Linked DNA regions of Callithrix jacchus. Each later gene encodes a partner of the first gene's protein in a complex. Links are inferred from orthologs where the notes say so. Each region holds a gene or a part of one and is shown on either strand. Other genes may lie near its edges.

Evidence for each region.
Region 2: NUP160 (region 1) and CETN3 share a complex: the UniProt entries of both Homo sapiens proteins name them as parts of the nuclear pore complex. The link is inferred for Callithrix jacchus from reciprocal best matches to the Homo sapiens genes NUP160 and CETN3.
Region 3: NUP160 (region 1) and NUP107 share a complex: the UniProt entries of both Homo sapiens proteins name them as parts of the nuclear pore complex. The link is inferred for Callithrix jacchus from reciprocal best matches to the Homo sapiens genes NUP160 and NUP107.
Region 4: NUP160 (region 1) and NUP214 share a complex: the UniProt entries of both Homo sapiens proteins name them as parts of the nuclear pore complex. The link is inferred for Callithrix jacchus from reciprocal best matches to the Homo sapiens genes NUP160 and NUP214.
Region 5: NUP160 (region 1) and NUP93 share a complex: the UniProt entries of both Homo sapiens proteins name them as parts of the nuclear pore complex. The link is inferred for Callithrix jacchus from reciprocal best matches to the Homo sapiens genes NUP160 and NUP93.
Region 6: NUP160 (region 1) and NUP98 share a complex: the UniProt entries of both Homo sapiens proteins name them as parts of the nuclear pore complex. The link is inferred for Callithrix jacchus from reciprocal best matches to the Homo sapiens genes NUP160 and NUP98.
Region 7: NUP160 (region 1) and NUP188 share a complex: the UniProt entries of both Homo sapiens proteins name them as parts of the nuclear pore complex. The link is inferred for Callithrix jacchus from reciprocal best matches to the Homo sapiens genes NUP160 and NUP188.

Annotation. Positions count from the first base shown.
Region 1 is NC_133511.1:112,905,990-112,910,273, forward strand, and holds the start of NUP160 (nuclear pore complex protein Nup160), read right to left. Parts: upstream 2,801-4,284; 5' UTR 2,774-2,800; coding exon 2,674-2,773; intron 2,424-2,673; coding exon 2,312-2,423; intron 2,022-2,311; exon of another isoform or gene 1,829-2,021; intron 1-1,828. UniProt on the Homo sapiens protein: Functions as a component of the nuclear pore complex (NPC). Involved in poly(A)+ RNA transport.
Region 2 is NC_133503.1:120,379,172-120,382,671, reverse strand, and holds part of CETN3 (centrin-3), read right to left. Parts: intron 2,590-3,500; coding exon 2,475-2,589; intron 1-2,474. UniProt on the Homo sapiens protein: Plays a fundamental role in microtubule-organizing center structure and function. As a component of the TREX-2 complex, involved in the export of mRNAs to the cytoplasm through the nuclear pores.
Region 3 is NC_133510.1:50,419,531-50,423,030, forward strand, and holds part of NUP107 (nuclear pore complex protein Nup107), read right to left. Parts: intron 1,486-3,500; coding exon 1,335-1,485; intron 993-1,334; coding exon 880-992; intron 1-879. UniProt on the Homo sapiens protein: Plays a role in the nuclear pore complex (NPC) assembly and/or maintenance. Required for the assembly of peripheral proteins into the NPC. May anchor NUP62 to the NPC. Involved in nephrogenesis.
Region 4 is NC_133502.1:179,850,767-179,854,266, reverse strand, and holds part of NUP214 (nuclear pore complex protein Nup214), read right to left. Parts: coding exon 1,934-3,500; intron 1-1,933. UniProt on the Homo sapiens protein: Part of the nuclear pore complex. Has a critical role in nucleocytoplasmic transport.
Region 5 is NC_133521.1:14,711,607-14,715,106, reverse strand, and holds part of NUP93 (nuclear pore complex protein Nup93), read right to left. Parts: intron 3,018-3,500; coding exon 2,826-3,017; intron 2,125-2,825; coding exon 1,998-2,124; intron 1,883-1,997; coding exon 1,810-1,882; intron 1,517-1,809; coding exon 1,472-1,516; intron 1-1,471. UniProt on the Homo sapiens protein: Plays a role in the nuclear pore complex (NPC) assembly and/or maintenance. May anchor nucleoporins, but not NUP153 and TPR, to the NPC. During renal development, regulates podocyte migration and proliferation through SMAD4 signaling.
Region 6 is NC_133511.1:69,112,007-69,115,429, forward strand, and holds part of NUP98 (nuclear pore complex protein Nup98-Nup96), read right to left. Parts: intron 1,937-3,423; coding exon 1,782-1,936; intron 1-1,781. UniProt on the Homo sapiens protein: Plays a role in the nuclear pore complex (NPC) assembly and/or maintenance. NUP98 and NUP96 are involved in the bidirectional transport across the NPC. May anchor NUP153 and TPR to the NPC.
Region 7 is NC_133502.1:177,568,838-177,572,337, reverse strand, and holds part of NUP188 (nucleoporin NUP188), read right to left. Parts: intron 3,321-3,500; coding exon 3,200-3,320; intron 3,072-3,199; coding exon 3,005-3,071; intron 2,502-3,004; coding exon 2,373-2,501; intron 2,043-2,372; coding exon 1,903-2,042; intron 543-1,902; coding exon 436-542; intron 1-435. UniProt on the Homo sapiens protein: Component of the nuclear pore complex (NPC), a complex required for the trafficking across the nuclear envelope. Required for proper protein transport into the nucleus.

The DNA.
Region 1 (4,284 bases):
ATGGTGGCTCACTCCTGTAATCCCAGCAAGTTGGGAGGCCAAGAAGGGGTCCAGCAGTTTGAGATCAGCCCAGGCAATAAGGCAAAACCCCATCTCTACAAAAACAAACACAAAAATTAGCTGGGCGTGGTGGTGCAGACCTGTAATTCCAGCTACTTGGGAGGCTTAGGTGGGAGGGTCACTTGAACCCAGGAGGCAAAGGTTGCAGTGAGCTGTGATTGCACCACTGTACTCCAGCCTGGGCAATGGAACCAGACTGTCTCTCAAAAAAAAAACAAACAAAACTTTTTTTTTTTTAGAAATGGGGTCTTGAACTCCTGGCCTCAAGAGATCCTCCCACCTCAGTTCCCCAAAGTGCTGTGATTACAGGTGTGAGGCACTGTACCCAGCCAAAATAGTTCTTAATTAAACGAAATTTGTATCTCTAATATAAGTCTCTCTTTTGAGCCTTAGATGTATAACTTTCAAGGCCTACTTGACATTTTCAAAGGGCTGCTGCCCAGGTACTTCAGATTTACTATTTTCGATACAATTATTCATATCTTTCCAAAATCCATCTTCTATGTTATCTCTGTAAATGGCAACCCCTCCCCACTCATATCTGGTTAGTCACATCAGACACCAGGGAGTTGTCCTGCTCTCTCCTTTTCATTTACCATCCCTTACCCCATATTCAATCCACCACCAAGTCCTAGTGAATCTATCTTCCAAAGGCATCTTGAGTCCATCTACTTTTCTGTTTCTAGTCATTCCCACAAGTGAGCCACCAGCAACTCTTACTTAGGTCATCCTAAGAGCAAAATTTTCTTTGTATTATACCTATTATACCCATCTAATCCAAATCCACCTTCCACACAAAAGTAGACTGAGATCTTCTAAAAATACATCTGAAAAAATTTAGATTCAGGGATACATGCGCAGGCTTGTTACGAGTTTGCTGTGTGTATATCCCTATATACATAAGGTTTGGGCTTCTAATGATCCCGCTGCCCAAGCTTTGAACACAGTACCCAATAGGTTTTCCAACTCTTGCTTCTCTCCCTCCCTACTTTTGGAATCCCCAGTGTTAACTCTTCCCATCCAAAATTGCAATTTTGATGTTACTCTTTAAAAACCTTTCAATGATAACTCAATGTACTTAGGATAAAATCCAAAAATCCTTAAAAATGGCCTAAGAGTCCCTCATAATCAGAGTCCTGCCTCCCTCACCAACCTCAGTATCTCACATCACTTTCTGTTCTACCCACTGCACTTAAGCCACACAGATCTTTGTTCAGTTCCAAATCTGCCAAATTCTCGCCACTTATGACCTTTGCATATGGTGATCCTACTTGCCGGACTGCTCTCTGTCCGCTCCCCTTGCCTGGCTAACCTCGTGTCCTTCAGATCTCAGGGTAACTGTGAATTCCTTAAAGCCTTTCCCTGCCCCACTAATTACATTTGGTCCTCTCAGCCTCTCATACCCCGATATTTTTCCTCTAGGGCAAGTATGAAAACTTGTTTTTGGCCTGGCACAGTGGCTCAAGTCTGCAATCCCAGCACTTTGGGAGGCTGAGGCGGGTGGATCACGAGGTCAAGAGATCGAGACCATCCTGGTCAACATGGTGAAACTCCGTCTCTACTAAAAATACAACAAATTAGCTGGGCATGGTGGTGCGTGCCTGTAATCCCAGCTACTCAGGAGGCTGAGGCAGGAGAATTGCCTGAACCCAGGAGGTGGAGGTTGTGGTGAGCCGAGATCGCGCCACTGCACTGCAGCCTGGGTAACAAGAGCGAAACTCTGTCTCAAAAAAAAAAAAAAAAAAAAAGAAAACTTGTTTTTATATACCTGTGTTGTGGTCATTAGTTTTAATGTCTTTTTCCTCCACAAAACTTCCATGAAAAGTGGATCCATATCTACTCTGACATTGTTACAACTTCTTGCATGATGAAAATGGTGGTTGTTTTTGTTTATTTCATCCTGGTACCTAGCACAATGTCTGACTTACTGAAGCTCAAACATATATGAACAATGAAGAAAGCTGTAAATAAAACATAATGGGTTCATGTTTAAAACCGGTCTTATGGGCTTTATCCCCTAAGCTACATATCCTCTGCTTTTAGTGTTATTTGATATGTGTGTGTGTGGGGGGTACCTCTTCTAGAACTCTGTGTCTCAGTTGTCCCCTGATTCTCATATGAACTGAAAAAACAACCTTTCTCTTTCCCTAAATGTCAATTACCATTTCTAGAATAACACTGGGAACAGCGATGAAAATTTATACACCAAACTCTACCTTGCCAGGGGAGTCTAGAGAACCACAGTACTTACCAATGAATGAACCTGTTTCTGGTGATGGAGAACAACTTGCCACTCTCTCCATAGTAAAAGCCTCCCGCGCTCTCACTGTATTTTGCGGCGCCAGCCACGGCATTTGCAGTCCCTGCAAAATGAACGTGGTCAGACTGCACAGGCGTCCTCCGAGAAATGACAGGGACTAAGGGAGCTGACAAAGCAGAGGGTGACAGACTGACAACCCATACGAAGAGGAAAACATCAGACGCCAAGGAATCTCTGATCCCGGGGCTAGAGGCATGTGGACTCAGGAGGATGAACCAGGGAGTCAGATCGTGGGACCCATGAGAGGAGCCCGAGGGGACAGATCGGATCGCGCCGTTCCTGGCAACCCGTACCAATGCTGCAGACTGTGAATTCCCGAAAGTGCCTCGGCCTTTCGCGCTCTGCTCCGCTTAGCTCCACGAAGCTCCGATCTATCGAACCCGCCGCCGCCATCTTCCCGCCGCCGCCGCGATGCCCGACGGGACAAAGGGAGGTCCGCGCGGCCTGCGTCACTTCCGGGGGCGGGGCGGCAGAGCTGCGGGCAGGAGGCAAGTTGCGAGCAGAAAGGCAGTTCCGGCCTTTCGTTGCGGGGCTTCCACCCTGAGAATGAGGGTGGGCAGCGAGGAAGCCAGAAGAGAAGTGGGCCGGGGAGGCCGATTCTATCTGTGGGAACCTTCGAGTGGTCGGCTAGGACGCCTCCAGAGGGCGGTGCTCTTTTCTCGGCGGCTGCAGGGCAGGGGGCGGGGCCGGGTTTGTTTCGGTTTCAAAAACGCGGGTCGAGTCTCCCAGGAGGGGCGAGATCCGGAGAGGCACGGCCGGATCCCGCGTTCACGGTCATCTCTCACTTGGTCAGGCTGTCCGTCTGTAAATCTCTGCCCGATCCTCCCTTCACTCTTCAGCGGCGACACTTGGGATAGTGGAGTGAGGAAGGGGTAGTGAGGAAAAGGCCTTTGGTTTTGGCCTTTTCCCCCCACCAAGAGACTGTATTCGTGTATACCTGTATAATGAAACGTAATGTATTAGTTAAACCTTGATGCTGCCACCTGCTGAGGTTTCCTGAGTGCTACTCACTTGGATGCGTGAAAGGCATTTTGTCATTCATTCAACCCATGATCTTGCACTTGGCTGTCAATACAGTAAAGGCCCATAGTCCTCAGTGTTTAGAAGATGTTGGGCCGGGCGCGGTGGCTCACGCCTATAATCCCAGCACTTTGGGAGGCCGAGGCGGGTGGATCACGAGGTCAAGAGATCGAGACCATCCTGGTCAACAAGGTGAAACCCCCGTCTCTACTAAAAATACAAAAATTAGCTGGGCATGGTGGTACGTGCCTGTAGTCCCAGCTACTCGGGAGGCGGAGGCAGGAGAATTGCTTGAACCCAGGAGACGGAGGTTGCGGTGAGCCGAGATCGCGCCATTGCACTCCAGCCTGGGTAACAAGAGCGAAACTCCTCTCAAAAATAAATAAATAAAAATAAAACTATACACCCATACTGACATGCCTCCCTGTAACTCCATCAAGACTGTGAACCTTGAGTGGGCCCATAATGCTGCCCAGCAAACACATTGTATTTGCTTTCTCCACTTAAACTGTTCTGAATGAGTATTTATTTCGTAACTCCTGTAACTTTCATTGCCTCCTCCCTCATCCTCACTCTCAGCTTGCTTCTTCATTTAGAAAAAGCAATCAGAGGCCAAGATGGAAGGATGGCTTGAGGCCAGGAGTTCAAGACCAGCCTGGGCAACATACCCCCATTTCTAATAAAATTTTTTTAAAAATTAGCGAGACGTAGTGGTGTGCCTCTGTAGTCTCAGTTATAGGAGGATTGCTTGAGCCCAGGAGTTGGAGGTTACAGTGAGCTGCAATCTTGCCACTGCATTCCAACATAGCTAGAAGGAGATACATCTGGGAAGGAGGAAGGGAGGACTTCTTCTACAATGACATCTCCCCACCTACCAGCATCTG
Region 2 (3,500 bases), on another chromosome or scaffold:
CTTCTTCCCAATCCCAGTACAGTACCTAACAAAAAATTCAGTGTTAAATAAGCAAAATGAAGACAATAATACAGTATTATTATCTGAAACGGCAGTAATAAGTAGTACATGTCAAAAAGAGCATACAAACGTTTGACTTACGTTGGTCTTAAAGAAAGTCATTCCTAAAGCATCTGTTACTCACTAGTCTCAGGTTGTCTTGACTCTAAACTAAAATTAAATATATTTTAACGCTTTTTTTCAGTAGGAAGAATCTATAGTAGTTAAGTGCCAAATTCATCCAGATATATTTTGGAACAGTATCCTTAGGTAGTTCATAAAACTAGGACTCAAATGTTCTGAATTAGAATCATTTGTCCCAAAGTATAAAACATATTAATCTGTGGTCAGTCATTAATTAAAAATAACAAACAAAAGTGGGAATACATAGTTCTTGACTGACTGATTCCCAAACAGTAATAAACTTTTATTTGACACCTGGTACTTCTCCATAGGTAGCCTTAAAATTGCTAAGATAAGTGTTGACAAAAGGTTAATCTTTGAGTGTCAAAGCTGAAGTTTTGCCCCACCTATTTATTCTACAAGGAATCCAGCATTTCTGCTTTGTTAATAACATAGAACAGATAGGTGTCAGGAAAAAGTGAAGGTGGCATGGGATTCTGGTCCCAAATGCCAATAAAAATCACAACTTTTAAACTGTATTCATTTAAGATAAAATATTTTGTAAAATTATTAATGATGATATAGTGCTTAAAATAGACTTTATGAAAAAGATCAATAAAAAATATACAAAGAGTATATTTTATGTCCCAGTGATACATATGTGATTATTTCAAGCCCCTGAAACAAAGACAATTTTTTTAAAATAATAATAGCAAATGTTTAGTAGCACTTACAACATGCTAGGCCTTTTCTAAGTACTTTACATAACATTAACTTATTTAATCCTCACAAGAATTTTATGAGAGAGTACAATGATCCCTGCTTTATAGTTGAAAATGAAGCACAGAGTATTAAAATGACCAAGTTCCAGAGCTATAAAGTGGCAAAACCAAGGTATGAACCTAGGGAATCTGGTTCCAAGTGCTAAACCACTATACTGTACTAAACATACCTGAATTATAGCTCCTCCCTAATAGTCATTTCCACTGTATACCTTGTTTCTACAAATAAACAATCTAAGGTAAAAACTAGGAATACTGTGATCATAAACCTCAGGAGAGTGTCCGTTCTGAGAGAACAAAAGGTGGCTCTCTCCCTCTCCTCAAATAAGTAATTCTATAAATTAGAGGATAAAAAGAAAATGCTCCCTACATGGACAAGTAGCTTTTCTAAACAGTCATATATTAATTCCGAAGTTGAGTATCTTCTATGTTGTGGTTTTTTCTTTTTCTATTAGGTTTATCATTTCTTCTCCATCTCAACTGCTCTTGACGTGAGCTTTTGGATTTAAAAAAAACCTGACTAATGACATGAATATAAACTTTCTCTGTGTCTACTAAATGCCATTTCTTTTTGCTTCCCATATTGCTTCTTGATGAATATTTAAAATAAGTAGTTTGTGTACGTAACAGTTTCCAAATTTTTTAAATATCTTAAAATATTTATATGATGTGCTTATATCACGACCCACTGGTTGAGAAAAAAAATAATAGAAATAAAACTGAATATTTATACATTTTGTAGATAATATTCTGGGCTATATGTATTTAGGTCATAATAGCAAAGTCCTTGCCTTCCAGAATCTTCTATTTTGAAAAAAACCTAGTCTATATATGCTAAAAATAATTTACTAAAATCAACTATATAAAAATTTAACCATATTAAGCCTATGACGCATTATCTTCAGTTGGTGGTTCTAGGATGTTTTCTCCTGCTTCCGGTATGCCCACTGCCTCCTTTACTACAACCCTTTCCCCAATCCTAACTCTAAATAGATAGCTTTTTCCACTGAGATAAAGGTTATCCAGAGGATGTAGCCTCTTATCAACTTTGTCAACCTGAAGTCATGAATTTCATCTACAGCTAAAGATACCAACTACCAGTTCCCCCTTGTCCCACTTAGCCAACAAAAATCACATACCAGAAAGATCTTGGGAAACATCTTCCAAATAGCAGGATATCAAATTTTCTGTTTTACTAAATAAAAATAATTTTTTGATCACCCTTCGAGTTTTATCACATAATATAAATACACATAACTTGGAAAAGCATCTTTCCATAAACAGCTACACAATAGTTCCCTGGTTAGAATATTCAGAACAAAACAAAACTACGAATCTCAGAGCAAAGCCATAAATATTTCTCTGAAAATAAAAGTTAAAAACAAACAAACAAAACTGAGTAAGAGTCACATTATACACCAGTGTTCTATAAGAAAATTCCATAACCTAGAGAATTTAAAATAAAAAAACTGATATTAATCAGACAATTTCCTAACAGCTGCTGATTACAAAGACTATTAAAATACACACCAACTTCATTAAAATCTTCAAAGGTGATTTTCCCTGTGGCTTCTCTGTCATAATCTTTAAGAATCTTCAGTACATCAGCTTTTTTTACATCAAACCCCAAGGCTCTCATTGCCACCTTTTGGATTAAAAGGGAAAAGCAAATTATGAAGCATTCTTTACTAAAAAATTTCTAATTCTTAAGTTTTTACATCTTAAGAGATAACACCAAATCAGTAAAATATAACTCTTTTGTATCTTTTATCTCTCTAAAATAGCAAAGTAACAGTGTAATTGTTCTTCAGTATTGAAATTGTTTTTTCATTTATAAATTGCATTTTTATATGACAAAGTAACAAGTGTTTACAAATTTTACTATATAAAATGCACTAACATACTGCACAGATAATTTGATTGTTATTTGTTCTCAAGGGATTAACAACCAAAATGAGAAGGCATGGCATAAATATTAAACAGTTATATGACAGAAGAGATAAAATATTAAAATAAGAATTATCACCAGTCTCTCCATGATTAGTTATCATGTAAATGTTAGGGCTAAGGACCCTGAGTTTAGAGGGGAAAAAGAGAGATTTTGTTGCTAGTAACAAGGAAGGAGACATATTACTGATTACAGAAGTCTTATTTGGAAAGATTCAAGTTGTTCCTTGAATGATAGATGAAGAGGAGCACTAGGGCATTTGGGAAGGATGACTGGTATTAAAAGGGATACTGAAATGAAGGTTTGAAGGACAGTGAACAGAGCAGTTTACATTACCTGAATTAGAAGAGTTCAGGTGGAAGAAAGCAATTAGCTAATGAAAAAAAGGAGTTGGTGGCAAAAGTGTAGAGAACATTCAATAGAAAGCAAAGAAATCTGAACTTTAAGTAGTGTGTAATGAAAAGTCATTAATAGTAAAGATTTATGAGCAATGAACAATTTATGAGCAATGGTGAAAGAATTTTTAAACTATCTAAATTCAATGGTAGTATACAAGGTGAACTAGAGGTAGAGAAATCATTTAGGAAGCTCCAGGTATAAAATAAGGT
Region 3 (3,500 bases), on another chromosome or scaffold:
ATTATGATAACATCTAACTTTTCTTAGTGTATTTTCATATTTCACAGCTCTCTATTAAATCATAGAAAATACTGCCACACATGGTGGCTCACATCTGTAATCCTAGCACTTTGGGAGGCCGAGGCAAGCAGATCTCTTGAGCTTATGAGTTCAAGACCAGCCTGGGCAACACAGCAAAACCCTGTCTCTACATAAAATATAAAAAAGTAGCCAGGCATGGTGGCACACGCCTGTAGCCCCAGCTATTCGGGAGACTAAGGGAAGATGGCTTGTGTCTGGAAGGCAAAGGTGTAGTGAGCCAAGATAGCGGCACTGCACTCCAGCCTTGGTAACAGAGCCAGACCTTGCCTCAAAATAAATAAATAAATAAAAATAAATTATAGAAAAAATTTACTGGATTATTAATTTGGAACTATATATTGTATGTCTCACCAACTTAACCATGTGATTCCTTTAAATGTTACTCTAAAATAGTTTTCTTAGACATAACTTTCTATTCCTTTCTGAAAATACGAGTAAGCAAGCTACATAAGTTAGTGATTAACAAATATTTAAAATAACCTGATGAGCAACAAACCAAAGCTGAGATCTTTTTTTTCTATTAAAGAAGCTTCCTTTAATATACTACAAGTAATCCTTTACATAAGATTTCTTTCTATTAAAGAAGCTTCCTTTAACATACTACAAGTAATCCTTTACATAAGACTTAAAATTTGCTGCCAATTTTTGTAGTTTAACATGTATGGGCTGACGAAGAAACATTCTTAAAAAAGAAAAACTAACATAGAATTTCTTTTACGAAGGGAGAAATTCACCAAGGAATAACATAAAAGATTATTAGAAGTTACACAACACCTTTGCCCCCCCATTCTAAATTACCTCAGTAGTGCCAGTATCTAGGGCTGGGGCCAGGTCATGATGACTAAATTCACTGTTATCTTTCTTTCGAATATTCTCAACTACAGTTTTTGTTATTGTTGCAACATCCAAATCTAAATTATTTTTTGAAGAGACAAAAAATAAAGATTAATCATTGATACTAATATTCTCTAAACAGTCACAATGATTTGGTAAATTTGGAACAATAATCCTTAAAAATGAAATATGTAAAATATAAAAGATATTTATATAAAAGAAAATGCCAAAACTAAAAGATATTTTACATATGAGTTACAGCATAAGTAACATTAGTCCTAAAACAGAAATTCCCTGAAAATTTTATTACTTTTTTCCCCTAAAAAGAAATAAGATTTAAAACTAGGACAAATATTACTATAGTCAAAATGAGTATTTGCCTACAAAGGTCAATGGACAAAGTTTTCAACCATTTTTACCTGCTTCTTTAGCCAACTCCAAGCAATGGTGGCGCTGCTCAAATTCTGTAACACTTTCCAAAAATAAAGCATACTGGGCAACAGCTAGGTCTTGAGGCAAATGACAGGTATAAAATGCTATGAGATTTGTATGTTTCTCACTTATTAAAAGCTAAAAAACAGAAAAAGATCAAAGTATATCAGTAATAAAAAAGTTTACTTCAAAATCTCAAATATATTCAGGAGAGATTCATACAGATATGGATTTCTGTTGCTAAACATAATTTCATTTTATGTTTGTTTATTTGAGACAGGGTCTCACTCTTGTCACTCAGGCTGGGGTGTAGTGGCACGATCATGGTTCACTGAAACCTCTGCACCCCGGGTTCAGGTGATCCTCCCACCTTAGCCTCCCAAGTAGGTGGGACTACAGGCATATGCCACCATGCCCTGATGATTTTTTGTACTTTTTGGTTTTTTTTTTGAGACAGAGTTTCGCTCTTGTTACCCAGGCTGGAGTGCAATGGCGCAATCTCGGCTCACCACAACCTCTGCCTCCTGGGTTCAAGCAATTCTCCTGCCTCAGCCTCCCGAGTAGCTGGGACTACAGGTGCGTGCCACCATGCCCAGCTAATTTTTGTATTTTTAGTAGAGACGGGGTTTCACCATGTTGACCAGGATGGTCTCGATCTCTTGACCTTGTGATCCACCCTCCTCGGCCTCCCAAAGTGCTGGGATTATAGGCATGAGCCACCGCACCCAGCCGATTTTTTGTATTTTTTTAGTAGAGATGGCTTTTCACTATGCTGCCCAGGCTGGTCTCAAACTCCTGGGCTCAAGTGATCTGCCCACCTTGGCCTCCTGAAGTGCTGGGATTACTGGCATGGGCCCCTGTGTCCAGCCCAGAATAATTTTAAATTCTAAAAAGTGAGTGCAGTTGGCCCTTAAACAGCATAGGTTTGAACTGTGTGGGTTCACTTATATGTGGACTTTTTTTCAATAAATATATTGAAAAATTGGCTGGGTATGGTGGCTTGTGCCTGTAATTCCAGCACTTTGGGAGGCTAAGACAGAAGTGTCACTTGAGGTCGGGCCTGGTAGCTCACACCTGGAATCCCAGCACTTTGGGAGGCTGAGGCAGGCAGATCACATGAGACCAGAGTTTGAGACCAGCCTGGAGAACAAGACAAAAATCCCATCTCTACTAAAAATACAAAATTTATCCAGGCATGGTGGCACATGCCTGTAATCCCAGCTGCTCGAGAGGCTGAGGCAGGAGAATTACTTGTCCATTTCAGACAGACAATTCATCCTGTAAACAGACAGCATAAACTTACAATATTAACAGATATAGTATAGTACTATAAATGTAGTTTCTCTTCCTTATGATTTTTATTTATTAATTTTTTAATTTTTAGAAGTTATTTATTAATTTTCTAACCTTTTTAAAAAAGAAGACAGGCTCTCACTATTGCCCAGGCTAGTCTTGAACTCCTGGACTCACCCACCTTGGCTTCCCAAAGTGCTGGGATTACAGGTGCAAGCCACCATGCCCGGCCTGATTGTTTTTTTTTTTTTTTTTTTGAGATGGTCTCACTCTCACCCAGCTGGAGGGCAGTGTGGTGAGATCATAGTTCAATGCAACCTCCATCTTATGGGCTCACTCAATCTTCTTCCCTCAGCCTCCCAAGTAGCTGGGTTTACAGATGTGAATCACTGTGCCTGGTTAATTTTAAATAATTTTTTGTAGTAGAGAGAGGGATCTCCCTATGTTGCCCAGCTAATCGCAAACTTCTGGACCCAAGCAATTCTCCAGCCTCTGCCTCCCAAAGTGTTGGGATTACAGGTATGAGCCACCATGCCTAGCCCTTATGATTTTCTTAGTAATGTTTTCTTTAGCTTACATTATCATAAGAATACCTGGAGTATTATCATAAGAATACCTGTTGTTCAAAGTACAGCAGAGCTTTGAACAACATGGGTTTGAACTGTGCAGCTCCTCTTACGCACAAATATTTTTCAACTCGACTTATATAGAAAATGTAGTATTATCTGGATGTGAAATCTGCAAATATGGAAGGCCAACTTTTTGTACATGCAAATTGTGCAGAGCCAACTGTGGACATGAGTATACACAGATTTTGTTATATGTGGGGGTCCTGGAACCAATCCCCCAAGAATACTGAG
Region 4 (3,500 bases), on another chromosome or scaffold:
CATCTAGGAAGTGGAGAAGATTCTGAGAAAATACTTTAAAGACCCCTTTCCATTGCTAACATTTTAAAATAGTTTAAGTTCTAAAGTTCTGAGGACTGAATCCATCTCTCCTACCAAACCCCGAAGTGGATGGGGGCTAAGAATAGCTTACTTTCAGTGATCAGAAATTCTAAGGGCTGACTTAATACTACAAATATTTCTACTCCTTGGTTTCTTTTGAATCTCAAACAACACATTCTTTCAGGGTAGTTTATCTTTCTTCCAGATGGCATAACATGGTTGAAGTGCTGAGTTGAACAAATGAGCTCCAGACAAGGAGTGAGAAGGCAGGAGTTCTATTCTCATTTCTTTTTCTTTTTTCTTTTGAGACAGAGTCCCACTCTATCACCCAGGCTGGAGTGCAGTATCGTGATCTCAGCTCACTGCAACTTCTGCCTCCCAGGTTCAAGCGATTCTCCTGCGTCAGCCTCCCAAGTAGCTGGGATTACAGGTGCTGCCACCACACCTGGCTAATTTTTGAATTTTGAGATGGGGTTTTACCATGTTGGCCAGGCTGGTCTCAAACTCCTGACCTCAAGTGATTGGCCCACCTAGGCCTCCCAAAGTGCTGGGATTAGAGGCGTAAGCCATCACACCCGGCTTCAGTTCTCATCTCTGTCACTGATTGGGTAGGTGAGCTTGGACAAGACTCAATTCCTCAACCAGGGCTGAAGTAGACAGCTCAGATACCTTTCCACACAGTTACTAAATGAAAGAAGAAGATTCCTTCATGGGTTCTGAATCTGTTGAAATAGCATGACCATGCCTGTGCATGAGGTCTTCTCAAGTTCTGACTGCAGAACAAATGGCGCAGTAGAGATAGGGACTGTGTTAAATGTCCTCCTCTCTTTTAAGAGACTCTCAGGGCCTTCTTGTTCCCCATTCTCTGGACCAAATTGGCACATTTCCCATCATTCAGTGGTCCATGGCCTCTTCACAGGGCATTGGGTGGGTCTCAAAGTCGTGTCTGTCTTTTCGACACTGTGTCTTTATAGCTGAATTTAGTAATAAATATAACAACCATTTGTTGAAGGAAGAAAGGAAAACATTTCCTTTCTAATAAATTATGAACCATTTTCAAGTTTCACTGAATAATGAATTAGCAGTTACTAGTAATCTTGCCCACCATGAAATCATTGATCCTTACTTTTCTCCCAGAGTCTATTGCTGAAGAATTGCCTTTCATAAGGTAACTATCAGAAAGCAAATCTCAGGACAGATTTTAAAATTGCCTTGCCTATTGATAACTTTTGGAAGTAAAAGCAGCTGCTAAAATGGAAAATGCAATAGTGAAGAAATTCACTGCCAAAAACAGTAAACTGTAGTTTTTACAAAAAGTCACAACATTGAAAAAAGGAAAAAACCCCAAATTAAATGTTAGTATCTGCCATTACAGTAAGAAAGATGGTGTTAGAGGGGACAGAAAACCCTGGCAGAGAGGTGGACTATGATGTCCCTTGGACTCTCCCGCTGGTTCTACTAGCGCTACCTGACATGAGCGCAGTCTCCTTGACACTTGATGGTTTTGGGCATAATGACCTCTAAAGTGCCTTCCAAATTTGAAAATTCCTATCTATCAGTCATTAAATTACTTGCCAGGACCTTAAACTAAAGATGCTTGTTTTTTCCCCACGAAACTGTCATTCTGGTAGCTAGCAGGCGACAACTTGTTAAGAAGCAAGACTGGAGCTGCGTTAAACTGTAACAGATCCAGTCAATTAGGCAAACAAGTTCCTGACACCGCATGTGCTCCACGCTGCCTTCCTTAACCTACAAATTATTTTTGGGTTCTGAGTCTCCCCTTTCTTTTAATTACAAAAGTAATATGGGTCTGTTGCTAATGTTTCGAATAGCAGAGAGGGAAACAAAGTAAAAATCTTCCACAAATTCTTACCTGAAGCTTGACAAAAGCTGAACCCAGAGGATGCTGCTGTTGTGGTGGCAGCTGAGGTACCACCAAATACAGAGCCTCCTTGTCCAAAGCCAGGACTCTGCCCAAAAGCAGGAGGGTTGCTTTGGCCAAACAGCCCCCCTCCTGTATTGGTAGATGACTGTCCAAATGAAAAGGAACTGGAGCTACTGGTACTTGAGGAGGCACCAAAGACACTTCCACTGGTGGATGTGGGGGTAGAGGAAGCAGGCTGACCAAAGGCAGGCACAGAACTGAACCCAGGTTGACTGAAGGAAAAGCCACTTGCAGCGCTGCTCGCTGACTGCCCAAAGGCTGGGGCCTGCCCGAAAGTTGTCTGTCCAAAGACCCCTGGGGCTGATGTGCCAAAAGCTGGACTGCTAAACCCTGAGCTGCTGACCTGTGGTGTGGCAGCCGCTGTGCTGACTACACTTCCCGTCTGCTGCCCAAACAGGCTGGGTGCAGTGCTGGCTGCCACCTGACCAAACACGGGCGTGGCAGAGGGGGCAGTGGCTGTGTTGTTGGTGAGCTGGCTGAAAGCTGAGCTAGAACTGGCAGCAGGGGGCTGAGCAAAGACTGATGAGCCAGAAGTGACAGTACCAAACGCCGCTGCCTCTGCAGCTGGACCCGGAGCAACAATGGGTGTGGTGCTGGAGGCTATGGGGGCACTTGATGTTTCTACAGCCACAGGGCCTGCACTTGAGATAGCAGCTGCTGTGACAGTAGTCTGCCCAGGCACGGAAAAGGTGGAGGCAGGTGGTACTGACTCCGTCCTGACATCAGGGCCCCCAGTGGTGGCTGGAGTAGCCTCTGCAGGGGCTACAAGACCGGTACTAGATGCTGCAGTGCCAGAGTTGCTGACTGCAGGCTGGGCAAGAACAGGTTCTTTTTTAATAGAGTCGGAAGTTTGCAGAGGAGCCTGGGGAAGCTGGGCTGACTGCTGCTCCTCTAGAAGTGAGGCTGTTGATGCTGACACCTCACTGTCACTTGGCTTCTCAGGCAAAGCTGATAAAGTGGCCTCTTCTGTGCTTCTGCCAGAGGACATAGGCAGGGAGGGAGTAGTTGCTGAACTCAGGAGGCTACTGAATGACAATGTGGGAAATGATGTTGGAAGGGGAGTGGCAGCTGTAGTTGACAGTGGGGCAGATGGGGGCACTGTGCTATTGGTCTGCTGGCTTCCAAATGAAAAACTAGTCTTGCCACCACTTAGAGATGTCCCACCAAAACTGATTACCCCAGAGGATCCTGCACTGGTGACTGGCAGACTGCCAAAAATGCCAGTTGAGGAAGTGCTCGTGCTGGTAGCTGCTGGTGGTGCTACTGTGGTGGTGGTTGCAGAGGAGGTCACAGGGGGCTCTGAGAGCTTCCCTAACACTGAGGGGCCAGTAAAATTAAACCCTGAAGGCATGCCTGACGTCTTGTTTGGCTGGGTACTAGTTAGGCTTGTGGATGAAGCCTTATTGGTTGGCTTTGTAGAATCATCTGCTTGACCAACCCGCAGTCCTGAAAAACTTCCCAGAGTCTCTCCAGCCAAAGAACTTGGAAACAGAAG
Region 5 (3,500 bases), on another chromosome or scaffold:
CAAAACAAATTATGGAGGGAGAGGAAGAGAGAGATGGGTGCACAGAACTATTATTTTAAACACAGAGAAACAATTAGGATCCAAAAAATACTTCAACTAAAAATGCTTGCCCTGGGCAATGCATGTATTTCATCAGCTAGACTCTGGCTTTCTTGAAGATATAAAGTCCTATTAAAACTATAAAAGAGATCAAGGAAACTACATGTGAAAGGGCAGACTTACTGGAAGCGCAGAGAAGTCAGCAATAAGACATCTGGGCTTTCTAATTTTCCAAAATGACCCAGAGAGTCGGTAAAATCAATGATTTTAAATTTGCTGATGAGTAGGGACTAGGGAGAAAAATCAGGAGGCACAGAGAAAATATCTGAAGGATTCTGGATTTGTGTTCTAAGACAGATGGCAAAAGGAACTCAGTGCTGAAAAAACACAATTTAAGTGGTAACAGGACATTTCTTTAAAAAATCACCATCACCACTCAACAGCAACTAAATGGTCAGGAGAGCATGAGAGAGGCCTTAGGCACCCTGGGAGAATGAAGGCAACTGCATAACATCTGTGCCTGGCCATTCTGCTTCTCCACTGGCACCGGATTCTCAGAGCTGGACCAGGTTGAGGTGACTTGCCTTGCCACTCTAGAAGCACCAGGGAATAAGGTCTTATCTATGTTTCTGGCTCTGTCAACTCATACACACTGGGATCCTCCTGGCCCCAGTGCAGCCTGTTAAAGAAACTTATGCAAAGTGCTCAGCACAGTGCCTGGTGATTATCATCACCCAATAAGCCTGGCCACTGTCATCAGCACTGTTACTTGCCTTTCTTCTGAGGGAGGTGGTATGAGCAGTGTGAGCTCATCTACAGATTGCTGGGTCAAAACTACTCATTTTTACAAATGAGAAAAGTCAGTCCCTGAGGGGCAAGTGACTTTCCAAAGACCAGAGGGAGATTCAGGGTCAGAACTGGTCTCTGACAACAGGAACTTTGACCCTCCTGCCATGACAATCAATGGGCAAAGTAAGTCTTGGGGATCCCTCAGGCTTCCAGGAGTCACTGTGGAGTTCAAAACCCTTGGAAATTGCATTTTGAAGGAAGTCAGGTGCACTTGCAACTTTTGCATCTTGGGAAAATGGGTGCAGTAATCAATTTGTTTTTCTTGCATGTTTTCTGAGCCAAGAATGACAGAAATGTATAAGAGCATTCTCAGCTCAAAAAAACGACAGGCATGAACAAATGAATATTCTGAACACAGTAAAAAAGCTATCTAATCACAAATTTACATATTTTAAGGAGATATGTGTGTGTAAAACCAAGGTAATAATCTGGGCCCATAATTTTCATTCAACTTTAAAAATTAAGTAACTCTGTTCAGATTTGTATTTTTCATACCTTAAATCTTAAAATCTAAGTGTATTCTTTTGGTATTTATTAATTCCCAATGGCTAAAAACATTTCTCTAAGGATGCATTTAACCCACCTTTCTACTTCCATCATTCTCTAGTTTCCCAAGAATCATATCGAACTGTGGAAGGAAAAAAACTTTACTCAAATTATTGGACAAAGATATAAACATAATCCATAAGTCTTCAGAGAGAAAAGAGGGTAATACAATGGGATGAATGGGATAAGTCTTACGCAACTAAAAATCAGTGTGACTGAAACAAATATTTTCAATGTTAGAAACCAAAGAAAATTCCAAAAACCCTCTAGGCCTTATCCACCACAGCCATATTGAAGAAAACATGCAGTATGGAATTAGCATGGGAACATGAACACTGAAAACCATGGGGAGGAGAGAAAAGGAAACCCACTCACCTCTCGGCTTTCAATCACAAGCTCACTCACACAGCGCAGAAACATGTTTTCTCCTTGACTATCTTTCTCATCCCTGTAAGGGAAAAAAACAATTCAGTTTCTAGTCCGGACATGAGGTCTCTAACAGTCATTCTCAGAATGGCAGAAATCGAAACTAGCTGAAATAAATGTTCAAAAGCAAATGTTACCTGAGGAAATAGAAGTACTGAAGGGCTTCCCTTGGGTCCGTGGACTCAAACTTCCGGGTGTAGAGCATGAGGAGCCGCACAAAGTTCAGCCGCCGCATGCAAGGAGGGTCACCAGGCTCATGGCTGACTGCATTGTGGGGGTCAGAGTGGGTCACACCACACTGCCCCACTGACCCATGCAACCCAGAAACTATGGAAGCTGAATCTGCAGACCCAGCAGCGTCTACTCCTACAGCCCAGTCAATATTTGCCAATATAAGCTTTGGCCAGTCCTTTTTACCACCCCATCCTCAATTCCTCTCCAGGCCCAGAGTGGAGAAAACAGCACTTTGCCGTAAATTACTAATACGTGGTCTTTGAATGAAAAGATAATCCAACTGACCATTACAGCATGTGCTCTGGGCTGATTTTGCTGCACCAATAAGGAACCCACAGCCATGCATCCAATTTACTTCCTCTGTCTCCCCTGACTCTCTCATCCCAGGCAGGTAGGCACATGGCTGGCTAGGGTTTCCAATGTCATTAAAGCAAGGGCCCTAATGGAAATCAGACCCATGACTCTAGGGACTGTTCTTCTGCACTATTTTCCAGGCAATCAGACTGGCCACAAAGCTAGCACTTTGAACAGCACTTTATATAGTTAACTTCCAAGGGAATACTAATGTGGGGGAAAGCAAGAACCCTAACACTAATCATCTAAAATGCTCAGCTGTCTACAATGCTCTAAAATGACTGCTATCCTTTGCTCAAATCCTTATTGGTTGTGGTTTTGGGGCACCAGGGATGTGCTGTGGTTACATTACTGCCAACCCAATCCCAAATACTCACGGAGCTGAGCACTCTGTCCGGAGGACTTTAAAAGCAATTTCAGCTCAAACAGCACAAGTGCCACATGGACAGCATGGCAGCGCAGCCGCTCCATGCGAAAAAGAAAGGCAATTGCAGCTTCAAACTGTGCTGTCAGGAATAGGACTTGGAAGTAGAGGAAGGGCTGTTGGTTCACTGTAAAGTGCGACTCGCCTGGGGAAAGAGGAGAGGAGATAAAACCAACTCGGAAGGTGCTCACCAGCGGCCCATATGTGCTAAAACTACCAGCACCTACACCCCCAGACAGCAGCCCTGTGGGCCTATAGAACTTGCTGGGCAGAAGAAAGCACCAGCATGAGCCTGAATTGATCGAGGGAGTCCTGAAGACAGTCAACTGCCATGTGAAATGTGACCTGGCTCCTCCACCTTCTCTAGACCTCATGACTAGAAAGTATGACTGTGTTGTAAAACTCCAACTGCTTGCATTAGGTGGGAGAGACACAGAGTTAAGGACTTAAAATGGACCACAAAGGGAGTATTCATCTCCTTTACCCTGTTAAGTACTCAAGGAGATAAATGAAGATTTCAAAAAAGCTTCAGTTTACTCATATTCACAGAAATTTGAATGCAACAATTGCTAACCACTATTTGGAATCTTCTTTTCTTTCCAGTTTTTAAATAAGGGGGGAAAAAGCA
Region 6 (3,423 bases), about 44 Mb from region 1:
AGGCCAAGGTGGGTGGATCATTTGAGGTCAGGAGTTTGAGACCACTCTGGCCAACATGGTGAAACCCCGTCTCTACTAAAAATAAAAATTAGTTGGGTGTGGTGGCACACACCTGTAATCCCAGCTACTGGGGAGGCTGAGGCAGGAGAATTGTTTGAAGCTGGGAGATGGAAAATGGAAGATGCAGTCAGCTGAGATTATGCCACTGCACTCCAACCTGGGTGACAGAGCAAAACTCTGCCTTAAAAAAAAAAAAAAGGTATTTAGTACATGAAAGGCACTATGCTAAACACTTTGAGTATATTTTGTTTAACCTTTGTGAAAATCTATCAGATATGAGCTATAATCTGTACCACTGTCTACCCCACCCACTTTTTTCTTTCAGACGAGACAAAGGGGGTGGTTAACTTGCACAAGATTGCACAGCCAGTGAATTTGGAAGCCATGAATTGAAATTATGAGTCTAATTCTAGAACTTGAGCTGTTAATTCCTATACTTTACTGCCTCTAACCTTAAAAGATTTCTCCATAAGGGGCTTATGGCAACCTGGAAATGTGAACAAGTAACTACAACATGGTCTGACGGTAGAAAAATGCACTAAGTATCTTGGTAGTAAGAAAGTGCAATTAATTATCTCTGGGGGAAAAGGAGGGAGAAGTAGGGCTAACAGCAACCTAGATGTTAAAGGATGGGTTTAAGTGTGCTAGGTAAAGTGTGGAACATAATATGGTTTGTTAGAAACACCAGAAGTAATTTAGTGTGAGTACAGCAGGGCAGCAAGGCTGGAATGTGAAATGAGTGGTAGGAGTAAGGCTGGAAAGGTAAAGGCCTCAAAAAGGACTTAAATCCTATATTTATTAAAATGAGTTTGGTTTTTGTACCATAAGCAAGCGGTGGAGACCCATTTTATGACTACAAAGACTGACCTTAAGGCTGGGTGCAGTAGCTCATGCATACACCCAGCACTTTGGGAGGCCAAGGCGGGCTGATGATTTGAGGCCAGGAGTTCAAGACCAGCTTGGCCAATGTGGTAAAACACTGTTTCTACTAAAAATACAAAAATTAGCTGGGTGTGGTGGCACACCACTATAGTCCCAGCTACTTGGGAGGCTGAGGCGTAAGAATCACTTAAGCCTGGGTGACAGAGCAAGACTCTGTTTCAATAAAAAAAAAAACAACAAAAAAAAACTGACCCAAGACATTTTAATAAAGACTTAACCATTTTGCAACTTTAAAACCTGCCAAATTAACTATTTTGCTATTTTAAAACATGCCAAATAATGTGTGAAACAATGATCCTCATCGAATCTTCATTCTTAATCTCTCATCTTTGGGTTTTTCACTCAAACTAGGGCTGAACAAGGGAAAGGGACTGTCTATGGACAAGCCTCAGGAATGTCTATTGCACATACTAGTTGTTAATAAACATAAAAAAGCGTTTTTAGGGCTGGGCACGGTGGCTCACACCTGTAATCCCAGAACTCTGGGAGGCCAAGGTGGGCAGATCATCTGAGGTTGGGAGTTAGAGACCAGCCTGACCAATATAGTGAAACCCCATCTTATATATTTAAAAAAAAAAAAAAAAAAAAGCATTTTTAAGTTTCAATACAGCTGTCAAAATGGTTATATCAAATGAGCCTCAGCAAGATGTCCTGCCTGCTTTTACAGTAATATGTCTGCCAATGCGTTCTCAAGTATATACTAAGGCCTTGTGAGGGCTCTAAAGATGGAAGGGCCTGAGAAAAGGAAAATCAGGCAGCAATTTCAGGATCTCAGGTACCTGCTGTATACGGTGGAGCATGTCAATGACTCTAATGTAGTCCAGGTAAACAAGTCCAGATGTTTCCCAATCCTGAATTAGGCTGCTGCGCTCTGGAGGTGCCAAGTCTTCCAAGAACCCCTTCAGGTAGTCATATTTCTCATTAATGATGGCATCTGAAGAAACAAAATATTGAGAACAATGTCTGCACAAGTGCACGGTTTCTAAAAGTACAGAAGACATGGCAGGAAGACAGAAAGCAAGGAGAAATAATGTTGGACTTCAGAATTAAAAGCGCATACAGGCATACCTCAGAGATACTGTGGGTTCCATTTCAGAACACCACGATAAAGCAAGTATCGTAATAAAGTCACATAAATTTTTTGATTGTTTGGTTATGTTTATAGTATACTTCTGTTGTCTATTAAGTGTGCAATGATAGCATTATGTCTAAAAACCAACATACATACCTTAATTAAAAAATATTTTATTGCTAAAAATGTTAACAATCACTTGAGCCTTCAGCATGCCATCTTTTTGCTGGTGGAGGGTCTTGCCTTGATGCTGATGGCTGCTGACTGATCAGGGTGTTGGTTGCTGAAGGATGGGATGGCTATGCTAATTTCTTAAAACAAGGTAACAGTGAAGTTTGCCATATCAATTGACTCTTCCTTTTATGAATGATTTCCCTTGTAGCACGGCATGCTGTTTGATTGCATTTTACCTACAGTGGAACTTCTTTAGAAACGGAAGTCAGTTCTCTCAAACCCAGCTGCTGCTTTATCAACTAGGCTTAAATAATATTCCAAATCCTTTGCTGGCATTTCAACAATGTTCACAGCATCTTCACCAGGAACAAATTCAATCTCAAGAAACCACTTTCTTTGCTTGTCTATATAAAGCAATTCCTCATGAGTGACACCAGTTCAGTCACATCTTCAGGGCCCACTTCTAGTTATCTTGCTGTTTCCATCACATCTGTGATATTTCTCCCACTAAAGTCTTGAACCTTTCAAAGTCATCCATGAGGGCCGGATTCAACGTCTTCCATACGCCTGTCATTTAATGTTGATATTTTGACATCCTTCCATGAATCACAAATGCTTTTTGTGTTTTTTAGTTGGAATCTCACTCTCATTCAGGCTGGAGTGCAGTGGTGCCATCTCAGCTCAATGCAACCTCTGCCTCTCAGGCTCAAGTGATCCTCCTTCCCACCTCAGCCTCCCAAATAGCTGAAACCACAGGTGTGTGCCACTATGCCCGGATAATTTTTTGTATTTTTGGTGGAGATGGGATTTCACCACGTTGCCCAACCTGGTCTCAAACTACTGAGCTCAAGTGATCTGCTCATCTTGGCCTCCCAAAGTGCTGGGATTATAGGCGTGAGCCACCATGCCTGGCCCCAAATATTCTTTTTTTTTTTCATTTCATTTTATTTATTTATTTTTAGGGGGCACCCGGATTTGAACCGAGGACCTCTTGATATGCAGTCAAATATTTTTGCTTTTAAGACAGAATCTCCCTCTATTACCCAGGCTGGAGTGCAGTGGTATGATCATGGCTCACTGCAGCCTCAACCTCCTGGGCTCAAGCAATACTCCTGCCTCAGCCTACTGAGTAGCTGAAATTACAGGCACATACCACCATGCCCGGCCAATTGCTA
Region 7 (3,500 bases), on another chromosome or scaffold:
GTGCCACCATGCCCAGCTAATTTTTTGTATTTTTAGTAGAGACAGGGTTTCACCAGGTTGACCAGGATGGTCTCGATCTCTTGACCTCATGATCCACCCGCCTCAACCTCCCAAAGTGCTGGGATTACAGGCGTGAGCCACCACGCCCGGCTGACATCTTAACTTGCTATGTTACATCTATTTGTAACACTTAAATAAATATTTTGCAATTAGCATGCCTTTTTTTCTCCTTTCTATATTAGAGATGGGGTCTCACTATGTGCCCCAGGCTGGTCTTGAACTTCTAGGCTCAAGTGATCCTCCCACCCTGGCCTCCCAAAGTGCTGGAATCACAGACAGGCATGAGCTGCTGCACCTGACCTGAACATGTCTTTTATAATCAGGCAAAAAAACACCCTCATATAAACAATATGTGTACACGAAGTAGGATCCTACCGTGGCCAGACGTTTCAGCAGCTGAATAGCAAGACGTGGCAAAGCAGGGTCATGTTTGTGGTAGATGTATTTGGCTAGAACAGCAATGAGGTTGTTTCCATGAGCACCTAAAGAAGCACAGGAAACAGTTTAGATATCAAGTGTGCTTCATTGAAGTCCTTAGAGCACTGGCTGTTCAAAAAAGTCTCATACTGTACATATGAATGAATTCACCCTCAAGCGCTTGAAGGGCCACAGCAAACCCAGAAGGCTATATCCTTCTCTTTATTGAGGAGCAAAAGAATACCCAGAATTTGGGGGTCAACAGCTCAATCCAATTCATCAATAGCAAAGATACATTTTGGACAAAATAGGTGCTTATTTTAGTCCCCCCCACCGCCCCGCGAGATGGAGTCTTGCTCTGTCACCCAGGCTGGAGTGCCATGGTACAATCTCAGCTCACTGCAACTCTACCTCCCAAGTTCAAGCGATTCTCCTGCCTCAGCCTCCCAAGTAGCTGGGATTATAGGTGTGCACCACAACACCTGGCTAATTTTTTGTACTTTTAGTAAAGACGGGGTTTCACCATGTTGGCCAGGCTGGTCTCGAACCCCTGACCTCAAGTGATCTGCCCGCCTTTGCCTCCCAAAGTGCTGGGATTGCACATGTGAGCCACCACACCAAGCCCTTAAAATAGGTGCTTTTAACAAATAGTTTGGAAAAAGGCATTGCACTAAAATGAAAAAACTCATTAAAATCCTCAAATTACACAACCAGAAAGGGTATTGAACATATCCAGACACCTAATTGGAAACGAGGAAACTGGGTCCCAAAGAGATTAAATAAACCAGCGTAAGGTCACAGAGATTTAATGGCCAAAGTTATTAGAATTTCTTTACACGAACTCAGGAGGCGGACATTGCAGTGACCCAAGATCATGCCACTGCACTCCAGCCTGGACAACAGAGCTAGACTCCGTCTCAAACAAACAAAATAATAATAAATTTTTAAAAACCTAGAATGTGCCAATATGTCCAACTATAGCTCAATGGAACATTCTGAATTTATGCTAAACTGCTAAGTATACTGCAACTATGCTAAGATATGAAAAAAAAATCTGAAACCCAAAACACTTCTGGTCCCAAGCATTTCAGATAAGGATACTCAACCTGTACCATTATCACCATTTTATAGATGAGAATTTGGAAGCAGAGTGCTTTAATAATGCACCCAAAGTCACAGTTGATTGGACACAAAATTTGAACCATGGCAGTCTGACTTCAAATCTGCGTCCTTAACTATTATTCTATCATCACTAGGAGGCAGAAATAAAGTACCATCTAGTCCTTTTGTTTACAATTCCAGGAAAGGAGCTGGTAATCCTTCCCAAATTTCCTCAAGAAGTTAAGCAGAAAATATTGACATCCCAAAACACTGAAATATGTATTTATAGGCAGAAATGTTACTGACTAGAAAAGAAATACATACCATGTTGTGAGAGGGCCTGTTCCAGAGGTGACACCACATTAGAAGGAGGTTTCAGCCGAATCACGTTGTTGGTGATGGAGAATGCCAGTTTCACTGTCTTGATCAGCAGCTGGCCCTGCCCCTGGCCCTCTGACCCATCACTAGGGTGCCAAATGGAAACCAAAGTTGATTCAGACACTATGACTTCATTCGCAACATATGTGCTCTCATGAATTAGATTCCAACAATAATCCCAGAGTTCAACAGCTTCTGTTAGAGGCCCCAGTACAAACTAGGAGAGAGGAGGAGTAATCAACTCCTTTTGCTAAATGCCAGTCTATACAGCAGCCACTAGAGTATATAAAGGCTACGTCCTAGGAAGAACAATGTCGTCTTCTAAAAGCTACTACAAGTTTTAACTTAGACTGGAGTTATTAGAAACATGCAGGCACAATAAAGACAAACAAACCGAAGGTCAGAAGGAGCCCTACCTTCGAGGCTGAGCAGCCATCACCATGTCAATGGTGTCCACGCCAATGCCCATGATATTGATAACTGTCTGCCCTGCTTCTGTGTATGCCAGGCTGCAGATGCAGAGAGACTGCAGGCTGGGAGTGTGACTGGAAGACAGAGGTGTTCTGAGTTACTGGGGAGCCATTCAGTGTATCTTGGAAGGAAGGGCATTGTCCAGTTGCGCTAGGGTGGCAAATCTAAACTACTGGACACTGGAGACCAGCTCTCTGCAAGCTGAAGGCACTCTGATCACTTTCCTGAAATAGACTTGATCACCTAAAGATTACCCTAAGAGGCAATCTAAATGTCCATCAATTAACAGACACAGCTACTGAAAAGCATCATGATTAATCAATACGATGGAATGCATGGAACCATTAAAACAAGACATTTATATGCAATGGTATGGAAAGAAAGTTATAGTCAGTACAGAAAGAAGAAAAAAATGAGAAAACATAGTAACTGGCTCTGGGAAGTAGATACATAGGAAGAGCATCTTGTCAGGAATGAACTTTTGTAAAGATCATAAAGAATTATTAACATGTTACTGTATGTGTATGTACACACACACCCACACACCCACACACACACACACACAACCCCTTATTACCTGCTGTGCAGGTCTGTCTCGTGGCACAGGTTCAGTATCGCATGAATCAGCTCCAGGATCAGGCAACCTGGACTCCAAAAAAGACACAGGAATGATGTGGCCTTGTGTAATGACCCTTATCTCAAGAAAGGGAAAGAAAGAAGCTCTCCCTGGAGCCAGAAATCCCCAGATCTGCCCTGCCCATGCTGTCCTTACCAATCTGTTCCCTCACTCCATGAGAGTTGTAGCGCCACTTATGGTAGCTGGGAAGCATCTCCTTCAGCACAAACATTACACAGGGTACAAGTCCTTGGCTCTGGGTACTACCAAGTTGCCCCTACAAGAAACCATGTTTTGAGGGCTTCCGCACATGTAAGAAAAAGTCTTTTAGTTACCTACAGATTTAATTCCAAAACCACAGATAGGGCCAAAGGAAATCTAGGCAAACCTTGGTCATCAATGAAAAAAAAAAAATCAACAAACGTCAAAATTCCTACTTTATAGTTGAGCCCAAGTT